2 linked regions of the Struthio camelus genome follow. The protein of the gene in region 1 interacts with the protein of each later gene in a pairwise test. Links are inferred from orthologs where the notes say so. Each region holds a gene or a part of one and is shown in the gene's direction. Other genes may lie near its edges.

Evidence for each region. The genes of interacting proteins can lie anywhere in the genome.
Region 2: the proteins of zinc finger and BTB domain-containing protein 8A (region 1) and ZNF276 interact in binary tests that used the Homo sapiens proteins (3 or more experiments, as listed by UniProt). The two-hybrid records come from large-scale screens. The link is inferred for Struthio camelus from reciprocal best matches to the Homo sapiens genes ZBTB8A and ZNF276.

Annotation. Positions count from the first base shown.
Region 1 is NC_090964.1:8,489,877-8,497,231, reverse strand, and holds the start of zinc finger and BTB domain-containing protein 8A, read left to right. Parts: upstream 1-4,257; 5' UTR 4,258-4,486; intron 4,487-4,548; exon of another isoform or gene 4,549-4,730; intron 4,731-5,296; exon of another isoform or gene 5,297-5,308; 5' UTR 5,309-5,477; coding exon 5,478-5,518; intron 5,519-5,713; coding exon 5,714-6,681; intron 6,682-7,230; coding exon 7,231-7,355. UniProt on the Homo sapiens protein: May be involved in transcriptional regulation.
Region 2 is NC_090951.1:1,870,266-1,877,600, reverse strand, and holds the start of ZNF276 (zinc finger protein 276), read left to right. Parts: upstream 1-4,222; coding exon 4,223-4,433; intron 4,434-4,760; exon of another isoform or gene 4,761-4,959; intron 4,960-5,392; exon of another isoform or gene 5,393-5,820; intron 5,821-6,191; coding exon 6,192-6,501; intron 6,502-6,766; coding exon 6,767-6,819; intron 6,820-7,335. Other genes in the region: VPS9D1 (VPS9 domain-containing protein 1), read right to left, coding at 82-167, 422-509, 643-695, 1,239-1,301, 1,678-1,789, 1,991-2,153, 2,235-2,327, 2,634-2,709 and 1 more. UniProt on the Homo sapiens protein: May be involved in transcriptional regulation.

The DNA of each region.
Region 1 (7,355 bases):
GCAAAACAGGATGAAGTTAGTCCCTATGGATGAGAAAACCAATAGTCAGTTCCATGGCTGCTCCTAGCAGCAGTCAGTAGAGCCTGGGCAAGGTTATTGAAGTACTCTGAGCAAAGCACTTGCAACCTCTGTGGAAATTCTGATTGAAACTACTCTAGATCTTGCTGCATTTTTTCTACTTTTTAAATTCTGTTAGTCTGATCCTAATAGATGGAGAACCCTTCAGCTCCCACTGCTATTGGTACAAACTGCCATGCTCAGCTCTTACAAGCGAGAGTACAAATTATCTGAAACCTCAGCTAAGTGACATAGAACAACATATGCCCACAAATAGTTTGTTTCAGAAGGAAGTTTTCAGCAGATGAAATATCTTGGGCATGGATTTGAAAAAATGTGTAGGTTGTTACATAAAAAGAGGTGCTACTTAGTTGAATTTGCAGGCACTATCAAACTTTAGAGGAATGAATTCAAGCACTATAAAAGTCTAGTACTGCAAATAAAAAATCTTGTTTAAAGATTTATAATAAATTTAAGTATACTACTACAGGTTCCGGTTTTTGTTTCTGACAGAGTTTAATCTTAGTATTCTCACACAGCATTGCTAAGTTCCTGTAACACATACAATGCTTTTTTTGTGGATAGTATGGAAAAGACTTAAGGTCCAAGGACTCAACTCTGTTTAGCGTGGTCAACCTCTGTGCTTGTGCATAAATCTCCATAGAAATCAGCAAGTATCAAAGAGACAGTGATCTGCGTTGGCAGAACAATTTGCATAGCGGTGAGATGTACAGAAGACTAGGAAAAAAAGACTACGTTCAAAGAAAACTTGCTAACTGCTCATTAATATCCTAAAAATTGAAAATAAATATATTTGTTGAAGATGGAGTTTTGTTTATGGAAGGATTATCTGGATTGACAGACTCTAAATTTAACTTACTCCTGACTTTAGTGACATTGCTAGATGTCTCACAACTTAAATGTTGACAGAAATTTACCCTTGGAATAAAGCCATCTGTAAGAGGGTATCTTGTTATTCAAACTGGCCACTCAAAAGCAGATAATAGGGATACGCCATATTGCTACCCTTTGTGCTGCTACCTACAGAAACAAGCAAATTTTCACAATATTTGCTTGCTGAAATACCAGCACTTAGAGACACTTTCTAAATAGGATTTACCAGTAGCTGTACAACAGAATCGAAGACTGTGACTATTAGGAGGGCTTTTAATAGATATTCCTCATTTTTACTCCTTTCAAATAAAAGGGGTAGAAGTGCATATTTGTTTATTTCTGTAACTAACATGTCTAAAATCAGGTGAATTCACTGTTTAGAGATCTAAAGGAAATTACTATGAACTACTTAAGGTCAAAAAGTGTTGTTCAGCCAATTTGCAAAGACGTTCATTTGTCCTGAAAGACAGTCAGCAGTGGTAGAAACTTGATGGTTCCTTCACCATTCTTACAGCTGGACTTTTTCCTGACGCAGAGGAGCCAACTTGGCTCCTCCTGTTTATATAATTCATTGCAGTGGCGGTTTCTCTCATTGCCTGTATTGACTTGCTTTGGACTACAGGTAAATGTGTTACATGCCAGGAGAGCCACTCTAAATTCAACTTATTTCAGTGCAGAAAGGAATCATGACCAAAGACATGGTGTTTGATTCTGGTATTCTCCAGCCTTGACAAGAAACATCTGCTGCCACAGACTAAAGCAAACGCAAATACAACATGTCTGCAAAGGCACACTGGAGAAAAGCAAAGCACATACTAAACAAATCTCACAGTAGTTTGTATGTAGTATTTACTGGGATACAAATAAACTTCATCCAAGGCTGAAAAATTATAAAGTTGGCATGAGAAGAGGCCAATGCACACACGACATGTCCACAACTTTCAGGCATGACATGATAAGGTCTTCTGTGGCTTGCAGAAAGGAATATCGTATGCGTTATGAGTGAACGCAGTATGAATAAAATGTGAAAGATTGTTTTGTCCTGTCTTTCCTTTTTCTGTCTGTTTGCTTATGGCTACAGCCTCTTTCCTTTCTTGTCCAAATTCCTTTTGCTTCTTTGGGAGAAATCAGTTAGATAATGCCAGCCCCATAGCCATCTGACAACTAGGATGGATGACGTTTAAGACTAACAAAGCATAGACCAAATACCATGAGAACATTTTGCCTTATTTTCTAAAAAGATTTTAATATGTATGACAGCAATGATAAGAATATTGCCTAAGAACTGGGACAGGGCACAACAGTATCTGAGATGTAAGTAAAACCTATCCTGCTTGCTTTGCCGAGACTGAGGGAGAGGAAAGGGAACCGACAGTGGAACTGACAAACTCCACCGGACTGAGCACAATTTAGAAAGAATAAGCACAGCTAATTGCAAGTTAGTAGTAGCTAGTAGCCAGTTTCCAGTGGTTCTGTAAATTCAGGGATAGCAGTGTATGAGAATTAACCAAAGGACAGCTGTACCAGCTCATCTAACCCACTATCCTGTTTACAATAGCAGTCAAAAGCAGTTGCTCTGTGGAAGAATATGGCAAGCATACAGCAATACTTTTACCTGACTTTTAACTGTAGGAGGTTTATGACTCGGGGATTTCCTGAGATACAGGACATTTCTGTGAGCAAATATCAGGTCTCTCTCATGAGCTGGTCCAGTATCCCACATAACACTCCAACTTTTCGTGTCCACAACAGCCTGTGGCAAGAAATTCCAGTGTCTAACTACAAGTTATCTGAGGAACCACTTGTGATTTTATAGACTTTCATCTTACCTCATCTGCCTCAATTTTTTTCTGGTTTGGAGATTCCACACAGCATAGACATTTGCACAAAGCTGTTCCAGACCTTTTATCATTTCTCTTTCCCTTTTCAGGCTCCTGTGTATCCTCTTTGAGATGAGTGACACCTGGACTGTACAGAGTATTCAACGTGCAGGTATGCACCACTGAATAATGTAAGAACTGGAAGAAGTTGGGAACTGGGGTTATGCTGAGTTACCCTGAAAGGGGAGTGATGAGGAGGAAGAGAGTTACTAATGGTCCCCTGGACCAGCTTTGGAATCAGTTCAGCTAATACATTATTTAGACTTTGATGTAAAAGTACAATACAATCTTATGACATTTGCAGATGATACAAATTCTAAGGAATTGTCAATACCACGCAAAATGGAATTTACAGGAATTTACAGATTAAAGTCTTTTTGGACTGCACTGACAGAAATGTGGAAAATTTAACAGTACAAAATGCAAAAAGTATGACTTTAGATAGAAGAATACATATTACAAGCTACTGGACACAACCGAAGACTAGAGAGATGTATCCACTGATCACACGATGATTATGAAGTAGTATTGTGACATGGCTGGAAAAGGCTGGTCAGCTGTAGGATACAGCAGATTCAAATGTTTTCAGTTGTCGGAGAATTAATATCATTGTCCAGGGCCCTGAACAGTGTCATGTCAAATACTGTTCAAGCTCTGATCACTTTTATGTTCAAGAATGATTAATTTAAACTGGCAGGTCTTATGAAAGATTTAAGAATGCGGCCTGCATATTAAAGTTTGAAAGGAGATGGAATCCACAAAACGAGGGAAGGTTATTAAAAAGGGTGAATTAAGTTGACAATAAATATTGTTACAACATATATGGATATAAATTGGGTATGACTAAATTTATAGGATATCCTGAGAGAATGTTTTTGACTATGAGAGGAAAGAGTCTGTAGATAACTTTCCCTTTTCCCCACAGTGGGGAAAAGGAACTTAAATTGTTTCAAGATGGAATGTCTTAAGTTTATGGAAGGGAGGGCTAAAAAGGACACAAAGGATATGGTTAAGGCAGAACGGCTCCCATGGGAGAAGAAGTATTTATGAGAAATATCTGGGGTGTCAGAGCACAGAAAATACCCTGGTGGTAAGAACAGGAAAGAGAAAGATTCCAAACTTCAAGTGAGACAAGGTGAGAGGCTTGGGTGGAAGGATTTCAGATATTATGGTTTCTTCAGAAGATAACGGAGACATGCAAAAACAGAGGAACACTACATCTCCTCTTGAGGAAGCCGCAGGCATATGAAGGAAGGATTTGGGTCATCAAGGCCCCTGCTATAGATAAAGGTGTGAGAAGGAAACATCTAGGGCATCACATCCCCTCTTGGGTAGCATGTGGGTGTGAGAGGAGGGAAGCAGCCCAGACTGCAGGGCGATCAGGCAGAGGAAGCTGCTGGGCTGTGCCTGCAATCGGTGCGTTGCCCCTTTAATTGTGTCCCCAGCCCTCGGGCGTCTCTGTCCAACGCCCACGTCAGCAAATACCTTTTGTTTCTCTCACGTTCGGGCTTCCAGGGTTTGGGGCTGCGGGACCAACACATTGCCTTAAACCGCAAAGAGCCCCGACGCGGGGGCCGGGGATCCCGCATCCACCGCCTGCTCCTCTCGGCGAAGCGGCAGCGGCGGCGGCAGCAGCCACCCGCAGAACCCAGCCGGTAAGTGGCGGCTCTCGCACGCCGGCAGGCCAGACAGGGCGTTGGGATTTGGGGGCGGAAAGGGCCCCAGAGCGAGCCTGCTGCGAGGGGCGGCGAGGGACGTCCCTCGGCTCCGCAGTCCCCGCTGGGCGGCCGGCGCGCTCCCCGCCGCCGCTCGGAGCCGCTCGTTACCCGGGCTGCACAGCGCTGGGAGAGACCTAAGCGGGCGCCATTTGCAGCCCCGGGCGCGGCTGCGAGGAGCCAGGCACGGCAACAAAGGGCTGCGCGGGAGCGGGAGCTGGGCAGCGGGTGTGGGGCGAGAGGGGCCGCGGCAGGGGGCGGGCAGGGCGCTGCCGGCGCGGCGGAGGCGGCGGGCAGCGGCGGCAGGAGCTGCTGGGGCCACGCCGGGCGCCAGGCGCCGGGCTGCCGCCGCGCGGCGGAGCCCCCGCGGGGCCGGGGGAGCGGGAACCGCGGCTCCGGCAACGCGAGCGGCTCCGCGGTCGCTCCGGCTGCGGCCCCGGCGCGCCTGGCGCGGTGTCCCGGTGGGCGCGCGCAGCCGCCCGGAGCCCTGGCGGGCGCTGACGCTGCGCTCCCCGCGGCAAGCGGCGGCGGCGGCAGCAGGACCGGGGGCGGCAGCCCGCGCAGCCAGGCGGTGCCGAGGCGCCTTGGCGGGCGGGCCTTGCGCCGCCGGGCGTCCCGGGCTCCCGAGGGTCGAGCGACCAATTCGGCCGGGCGGGCGGGTGAGTGACGGCGACCGCTACCAATGCTGGGGGAGCCCGGGCCGGGAGGGCTGCGGCTGCTGAGGGCTCCGCCGCTGACTACCCATTTCTGGTCCCTTCGGAGGCGAGGATATGAGCCCAGCCGGACCAGGGCGATGTGATAACGTCAACTCAAGGCATGGACACACTCTTCAACCGAGACACTCGCAACTGCTGAAGGGCTCGTCGTCTTGTTGCTGACTGTCTGAAGGTTGTACAGCTTCCAGCGAGTTGCACACATCCTTAGGAAGTAGATGCTCCTAGCTGTAGCACACGCATCTCTGCCAAATAACGTGTATGGGTTTATGTGGCTTTTTCTATTTTTGCAGTCTTTTCTTTTCAAAATAGAATGTATGGTTATGCATATTGTTATTTAAAAACATATATTTTAAGAAGGATTATTTTAAAAGATATCTGTAAAACTGGTGCAGTATCTTTGGCTGAGTTGTAGGATGCTGAACTCAAGACTTTAATTATGTTTTTATTTTAGAGCAACACTTCATTTCACCTTTTCTGGAATGGAGATTTCTTCCCACCAGTTTCACCTCCTGCAACAACTAAATGAGCAGCGCAGGCAGGACTTATTCTGTGACTGCAATATCTTGGTTGAGGGAAAGGTCTTCAAAGCACATCGAAATGTGCTGTTTGCCAGCAGTGGCTATTTCAAAATGCTCCTTTCACAGAGTTCAAAGGAGACTAGTCAGCCAACAACAGCTACTTTCCAGGCATTTTCTCCTGATACGTTTACAGTTATTCTAGATTTTGTGTATTCAGGCAAACTGTCCCTTACTGGTCAGAACGTCATTGAAGTCATGTCAGCGGCTAGCTATCTTCAGATGACCGATGTTATCAGCGTGTGTAAGACATTCATTAAGTCATCTCTGGACATCAGTGAGAAGGAAAAGGACCGCTACTTCAGTCTTTCGGACAAAGATGTAAATTCAAATGGCGTGGACCGCTCCTGCTTATATGGTGCTGGCTGGAGGGCAGAAAGCAGCCCCCCACATTCTCACTTAAATCCGGATCAAGGGACATGTATGATGGGTGGAAGTGCTTGGAGCAATTTCAACTACTATCCAACTTCTCAAAGAAATGCACAGCAACAGCTGTCCAAGCATGACCAAAGGCAGGATTCCATTAAAAAAACCAGGCACCTAGGACTGCAGCAATCTTCTGACATTCCTCACTATAAATCAAGCAAACTTGAGGACAGGGCTTCTGAGCCTGCTGGCCACGTTACTCAATCTGAGGAGCAAGTTCAGATTGAAACAGAAGTTGAATCTCCTCACGTGGGATACCAGTACGGTCAAGGGTCTGATGTGATACCAAGGAGTTTAGCTGTATCACAGCAAGAGCATGAATCACCTCGTTCTTCTGGCAAATCCAAGTCTTCAAAAGCAGACGAGCAGTATACGAGCATGCCCTCGATTCTAGGTGTCATGGGAAGCTGGGCTGAAGGTAAGAGTTGGTTTTAATGCTCTAAGTATAAGTACATAATCATCTGTTAATCGTCTGTTCTGTCAGTAAGAAAATATACATTGCTAAGAAAGTGTATATTGACAAAAGTTGGTCTGTATTGCCCAGAAATGTAACTTTGGAAAGTTTAACTCTTATTTTTTAATAATTATGAATGACAGAAATGTCTGTCTTAAATTTGTCTTGATAGCTGTATTAGTTTATTAAAACTAGCCTTTCAGAATGCATAACCTTTAGCGTCTCCACAGCTTGATCCTGCAAATATAAGTCATTAGTTTTTTTGGATTTTTAAAATCCATTTTAAAATAGCTAATGGACCGCTCCATTTTTTTTATTGCGCTCCTGTGTAATTAACAGGAAAATACAAGATCTTTGTATTTGAAAAGACCTATAATAATATTTTTTAAAAATAAAAATGGCTTGCCATTTTGCTCGTGTTGCTTTTCATAACTAGAATAACCTTTTCCTAGAATATTACATGACTAGACTTGTTATGACTTATAAAGTTTGTCTTAAATTATTTTCTCACAGATGATCTGCCCAGGATGAGGTTCAAGTGCCCATTCTGTACACATGTGGTGAAAAGAAAAGCAGACTTAAAGCGTCACCTTCGCTGTCATACAGGAGAGCGCCCTTACCCTTGTGAGGCATGTGGA
Region 2 (7,335 bases), on another chromosome or scaffold:
GCAGGCGCCAGGAGGCATTGGCAAGCAGCCGCGGCCCCCTCCCTCCCTCCCAGCCCGGCCCCTTCCCAGCCCAGGCGCTACCTGAGGAGGCAGGAGAAGAGCCCCGCCACCACGGAGAGATCCGCCGGGCTCCGCTTCAGCTTGGCCTTCCACTGCCGCGGCCAGTCCTGGGAGAGCGCCCGCGGGCGGATGAGACGGGACCCCGGGGCCGGGACGGCACCGCGTCCTGCTCCCCCCGGACCCGGGGACGGCAGGCATCCTGCCCCCAGCAGCACACGGGGACAGTAGGCGTCCTGCTGCCAGGGCCAGGCATCCCTTCCCCAGGCAAGGGCATCCTGCCCCCCCAGGCAGCATCCCACCCCCAGGATAAGGCTTCCCGGGCCAGTGGGGCCGGAGGCAGCAGCCCCCGGAGCGCACTCACGTGGTCCTGCTCGTACTCGAGGACGGCGGCGTAGAGGGCTCTCTGCTCCTGCTCCTCGGGGGTGAGGGCCACGCTGCCGGAGAACCTCCTGCCCGGGCAGCAGCGGCGGTGGGCAGCGGGGGTCTGCTGGGCGGCGCCACCAGCACCCCCCTCCAGGCACAGGGACACGAGGTCCCTGCGCCTGCGGGGTCCCCCTGCCGCGACGCCCCGGCCCCGCTCACCTGTTGGCAGCCTCCTGCAGCCGCAGCCGCCGCTCCTCCATTTTCCGCTGCAGCTGGGCCACGGCAGAGTCAAGGCTCCAGAGCCACCTGCGTGCCACCGCCGCCACCACGGCACGGGGCCAGCCCGCTCGCCCGCCACCCCGCACGGCCAGCCCCGGCGTCTCCTCCCGCGGCCCGGGGGTCCCTGACGGCCCGCCACCATGGCGAGCATGGCTGGAGCCCCTGCGGGACCCCCACGCCGGCCCGGGGAGAGCTGGGCAGGAGCCTTCCAGCCTCTGCTTGTCCAGGCTCAGCCACCGCCTCCTACCGGGCAGGAGCCAGGATCTGCCCTTCTCCCACCCCGTTTCCCCCCAAGGCAGCCCGTAACAGCAGATCCCAAAAGCGCGTTTTGGATCAGCGCAGCCCAGGGACGAGGCACAGGTGTCCGCAGCAGCGCACGGGGCTACGAAACCCGGGCTACGCGCAGGCCCAGAGGCGCTGGGGCTGCCCGCAGGCTCGGGGCTGCTCCGGCCTGGCTGCATCGATGCTCCCTGCAGAGCAGGGGCCCAGCAGAGCCGCACGGCCCACGCTCAGAGCTCTTCGAACGGGAAGGATACGGTCTCCTCCCGGGCCTTGGCGATCACCAGGTTCTCCATCATCTGCCGCTGGAGGGACAGCGTCTGCGGAGCAGAGCGCGTGTTGGTGACGCCTGCCAAAAGCCCACGGCCACCCGTGCCACAGCGGGAGCATGCGGACAGGCAGGCAGCTCGGGGAACTCCCAGGCACCTCGCGGGACCCTCTGCTCCCTCCCAGCCCAGCCCGGGGTCCATCGCGCCTGCATGCTCCCGCCCCACCTCCCTGCCGCTGCAGGAGCCCTTTCCCTTCCCAGGCCCAGAGCCACCCCAGCAGGGCCAGGGCCTCTCCAGGGCCGCTTGGGCCCTGCAACACCCGACGCGACTCTGGCCGAGGCCCCGGGGAGGGACTGGGGGGGTTGGGAGCTGCCCGGCTCCGTGCCCAGCCCGTGCAGAGCCCCAGCCCTCGGCGCTCCCCACTTGCCAGGGAGGTCTTCTGCAGGGCCTGGCGGGGGTTCAGCCGCGCCACCCGGGCCTCGTAGGCAGCCTTCAGCTTCTGGTTCTGCAGAGACGCCTCCTCCAGCGGCGTCAGCTCCCTGCCGGCAACGAGCCCTGAGCGCCTTCCCGGGGCGGCCGGGAGGTACGCAAACGGCGGGCGCGCGCCACGGGGCCCTTGGGCGCTCAGCACAGGCGCCCAGCACCCTGCCGAGGACCGGACGCCGTCCCTCCGCACCCGAACGCTGGGGGCCGCCAGGCCTCGGCCCCCCACGTCACCGCCCTGCCGATGGCCCACGTACTTCCTGGCGCGCTGAGCTTCGGCGATCTGCAGCTTCTGGAAGATCTCCGGCGGCAGGAAAGGAGAGAGCTTGCCCCCCTCGTCCGAGAAGACCCTGCGGTGCCGGGAGACGGGCGCGGGGCCCGTGCTCCTCTCCTGGGCGGCAGGTTTGGCCTTGGCTGTCCCTGGGGAGGGGAGGACGGTCAGGGCGCGCGAGCCCCGCTCGCTGCGCTGCGCCCCGCCGCCGCAGGGACAGCATCGCTCACCGAGCGCGGCCGCGATGGACTTGACTCTCTCCAGGCACTGCTCCGCGAGCTTCAGCATCTTCGGGGTGTCGGGCGCCAGGCCCTCGCTGCCGTCTGCACGGAGGATGCCGTGTGGGCAGAGCGGCCGCGGTCCCCAGGGCCCTGGGCACCGCTCCGATGGCACCGGGGCGGGGGACGCCTCCGCACGCCCGCCCGGGGGCGAGGGGGTCCCGGCAGCCCCCCGCCAAGGCAGCGCTTCTTCCGCTGCAACGGAAGCGTCTTTCCTGCAAGCAGCTGCCCGAACAAGGAGCCGCTCCACAGGGCCGGCGAGCGCCCTGCTGCCACGCGCCGGCCTGGGGAGCCCGGCGGGGACCCCCGGGCTCCGGCCGGGGCAGGGGGTGTCGCGGAGGCCGCCCGCACCTGTGCCGGCCGCCGCGTCCTCCTGCAGGGCCTGGGCGATGAAGCTGATGCTCCGCAGATACTCCGCGTAGGCCTCCTGCCGGAGAGGGCTGCTGAGCCGGACCCGGTCCCCTGCCACGGCCCGGGGGGCACCGCGACCCCCTCCAGCCCGGCCTCACACCCGCCCCGTTTCCAGGGGGTGGGGGCAAAGGGAATAACCCCCCCCCCCGGGCTCGGGGACCGCAGGGCGTCCATGGGGGGGGCCCGAAGTGGGGCCCAGGAGCTGGGGGTGGGGGGCTGACACAGGGGCTGAGGGGGTCCCAAAGCAGGTGGGGGGGGTTCTCCGGGCCACCGGGCCAGGGAGAGCGGGCACTGGGGGGGTCCCAGAGGGGACGAGGGGTCCCCAGGGCACGACGGGGGGGGGCCAGGAGGGGACGACGGGTCCCCAGGGCACGACGCGGGGGGGGCAGAGGGGACGAGGGGTCCCCAGGGCACGACGGGGGGGACAGAGGGGACGAGGGGTCCCCAGGGCACGACGGGGGGGACAGAGGGGACGAGGGGTCCCCAGGGCACGACGGGGGGGGCCAGGAGGGGACGAGGGGTCCCCAGGGCACGACGCGGGGGGGGAGCAAGCAGAGGGGACGAGGGGTCCCCAGGGCACGACGGGGGGGGCAGAGGGAACGAGGGGTCCCCAGGGCACGACGCGGGGGGGGCCGGGAGGGGACGAGGGGTCCCCAGGGCACGACGGGGGGGGCAGAGGGGACGAGGGGTCCCCAGGGCACGACGGGGGGGGGCCAGGAGGGGACGAGGGGTCCCCAGGGCACGACGGGGGGGGGCCAGGAGGGGACGAGGGGTCCCCAGGGCACGACGGGGGGGGGCCGGGAGGGGACGAGGGGTCCCCAGGGCACGACAGGGGGGGCCGGGAGGGGACGAGGGGTCCCCAGGGCACGACAGGGGGGGCCGGGAGGGGACGAGGGGTCCCCAGGGCACGACGGGGGGGAGCAAGCAGAGGGGACGAGGGGTCCCCAGGGCACGACGGGGGGGGGCCGGGAGGGGACGAGGGGTCCCCAGGGCACGACGGGGGGGGGACGACAAGGGGTCCCGGAGGGGCCGGGCCCGTTGTCCCCCCGGCGGCGGGAGGGGGCCCGGCCCGGCCCGGTGCTCACCCGCGGGCGGCCGCCGCTGTCCAGCTCCAGGGCACCGTTCGCCAGCTTCATGGCGGCCTGCAGGGCGCGGTCCGGCCCGGTCCCAGCCCCGCTCCCGGGCCCGGTCCCGGCGCCGCCGCCCGCCGCCATGGCGGCCGCAGCCCGGAACGGTGCGCGCGGGCCGCGGCGCCGGGGGGGAACGGGCGGGGCGGGCACCGCGGCGGCCGCCCGGAGCGCTGAGGCCGCCGGACCGCGCCGCCGCCGCCGCCGCCGCCGCGCCACGTGCCGCCCCCGCCCCGCCCCAACCGGAGCCGGAACCGGAACCGGCGGCGGCGGCAGCGGCGGCAGCGGCGCGGCGGGCACGGCCGCCCCCCGCCGGCTCGCGGCCCGGTGCGGCGGCTCCTCCCGGCGGCAGGGGGCGCTGCGGCGGCGGCGGAGGACCGGGCCGGGCCGGCGGCGGCGGCGATGAAGCGGGATCGGCGCGGCCGGTTCCTGGCGGCCGCGGGCGGCCCCGGCGCGACTCCGGCCGAGCCCCGACGGCGCTCCGGCACGGCGGCCCGCGGCTCCCCGGCGCGGCCCGAGCCGCCCGCGGGGTGGGCCCCGGCCCCGGTTCCGGCCCCGGTTCCGGCGGCCGCTTGGGCTCGGCCCGCCGCTCTGGGCGGCGCCGCGGAGGCAGGTGAGGCCCGGGGCGAGGCCGCGGGGTCCGGTGCCCCGGCGGAGCGGCGGTCGCTCCCGTTCCCCGGGCCCGGCGCGGGGGGGGGGGGGCAGCGCCGCCGCCGCCGCCGCCGCCGCCGCCGCCGCCGCCGCCGCTTTGTGCTCGGCCCCGGCGGAGCGGTGCGGAGCGGTGCGGTCCCGGCCCGCCGCCCCCCGGCCGGGGCGGTTTTCGCTCTGGGGGCCCTGAGGCAGCTACGGCTGCGTGGGGCGGTAAAGGGGGCGGCGGGCGGAAACCTTCCGGTTCTGGAGAACGGGCCGACCGAAAGCCTGAGGGCAGCCAGGCCTCTGCGCCCCGTCCGTCCGTCCGTCCGTCCGTCTGCGGCGGGCCCGGCGGGTGAGCGTCGCGAGGACACCCGTGGGGAGGCCAGCGCCTGCATAACAGCATCCCGCAACGGCGGGAGGTGCCGGCTGTCCGCCGCGGAGCGAGTCGGCGTCCCCCCTGCCAGAGCTCGCCCTAGAATCGAGCTTTTCAGCCCTCCGAAGCCTTCGTGAGTTCGCCCGGACGCTCGCCGGCCTTCCCCACCTCCCGCCGCTGCCCCGGGGCCGGGGGCTTTGCGCCCCTGGCGCCGCTATCCGGACCGGCCGGGGGGGCCGCGTCCCTCCCGCCCAGGGCGCGAGGGGAACCCGCGAGGCTCTGAAGGCGGGCGCTGCTGGCGGCGCTCGGCGAGGGCTGTGCGTGCCGGACCCCGCGCGGCCGAGCCGCCCGGGGGCTCTGGCCCCTCGGGAACCTGCTGCCGCCTGGCCCTCGGAGCAGGCGCGCAGGGGGACCAGAGTCAGTTGGCTGCTTGTTTTCCGATGGGGTTTAAAGCGCAGCTGTGTTGTATCAGGCCCTGGAAGAGACTGCGTTGGGGAGATAAAGCCGGGCTCTTCGCGGAGGAGCCGGGCGGTGGCTGAGGACGGACGCAGCAGGCTGTGGAAGATGCGCAGGGCAGGAGCGGTGCTGGGGAGCGGGAGAGCAGCCGGCTGGGTCGCAGGCGGGAGGAGCGGCACGCGGGTCAGCGAACCCTTAGTGAGAAGGCACGTGCTTTGCATCCTGCCCTGCTGCCTCCTCCCGGGCCTTGCTCTTTGCTGTCTGCAGGCCGCCTCGCTCTTGTCCCCGCAGCTCAACAAGCAGGTCTCCGGCTCGATACCCTGCTCCCAGGCTGCTGGGACGGACTTGGACAGGGACCGTTAGGGCGCTGAGAAATAGCGTGTCTTGGAAGAGGCTGTTAGGAGCTTGGGTGGCTCACACTCGCAGAGCAGAGGCTGATGGACGTGACCACTGTCTATAAATACACTGGAGATAAACGCTGGGGAAGGAGAACAACTACGTAAGCTGAAGGACACTGTTGGCAAAAGCACAAACGTGTGTAAGTGAACCCTGAAAACGTCGCAGCTGGAAACCGGGAGGAGATTCCTCCATTAGGGCAATCGAGGCTGGAACAGCCTCCCTGGGGTACCGGCCAGGAACCTTGCTGCTTTTTGGGTATAGCCCAGTCAATTTATGGTGTGCTGCCTCTGTTCAGCAGGCGACTGGCTTCAGTCGCAGAGAAGGTCCCATCCTGCGCTGCCTTTCTGTGCGCCCCTGCCTTTTGCTGAAGCCAGGGCTTCTGAGGCAGCCTGCTGACTGGGATCAAAGGAAGGGTAACGTCTTCCAGCGTGCTGGTGCCTCGGGGCCGTAGCTGGCTGTAGTGCTCTTGCAGCAGGCACTGAGCAATTGTGTTCAAACCTTCTCTCCTAGGAATTGGCAGAGCCCTGAGCACTGGATATTGTCGCCTCTGCCATGGGAAGTTTTCTTCCCGGAGCCTGCGCAATGCTTTCGGAAAGGTTCCTGTGATGGGAGAGAACTCGGAGAAGCAGCGCCGCGTGGATCAGGTGTTCTTCACGGACTTCCAGCGGCTGGTCGGAGTCGCGGTACGACAGGACCCTGCGCTCCCCCAGTTTGTCTGCAAGAAATGCCATGCCCAGTTCTACAAATGCCGCAGCGTCCTCAGGACGTTTATTCAGAGGGTGAACGCGTCTCCTACGGGCCATATAAAGTCAAAAGGAAAGTACGTTGCCTTTTTCTGTTCCCGGTTGTTTTTTGGAGTAGTAAATTGTCACGCGTTTGTATATGTTAACTTCCCCGTGGAATTTCCGGGCGCCAAATTCCTGGGACAAGATGTATTTTTAGTAGCTGAAAAGTTAATGGGTGAACGCGGCTTCCAACTAACCAAACACTGCTGTCACGTTCAGTGTTGTCACTGTGCTGTCTCCAGCGAGACGTGTTCCCTCTGTAACCCCTGAAATGCTGCCTGTGCTGTTCTGGTTTTGCAGGAGCAGCGTTGCCCAGGCCGAGCCTGGTGCAGAAGGAGGTGCCTCCTGTCTGGGTGAGTAGCTGCTCACACGAGCTGGTTTCCATTTCTTTCTGCAATACCCTCAGCAAAGGGTTTGTTTTTTACGGACGTTCAGAAACTACCAGCTGGCCAGACGGTTTCTGTGTCCTTCAGCACAGCCGTGCCTGCGTGTGCACCGGTTCCGTTGGTTACGCTTCTGTATCCTCCTTGCTGCGTGAGGTCTCCCTCCTCTCGCGCTCTGCAGGAGGATCCTCTCTAGCACCAGGCAGGGAGAGAGCCTGTCCCAGCCGCTCTCAAACACTATGGGGCAACCAGAAATAGACTTTCAGCTGTAAGATTAGACAGCGACAGTCCAATTACTTCAACTGCCCCCACCCCAGTCCATGGAAAACCCTTTCCTGGCTGCAGGGTTTCAGTGGGTCTCTCATCTCCCTTCTGACATCCTGTCAGAAAGCTAGGAAATCCAGTGCAGCCGCTGGGTGGCCTTGGGGACAGACCTGATCTGTAGCCGTGTCCCTCCGTGTAGCGGAGCGTGCGGTTTGCCAGCCC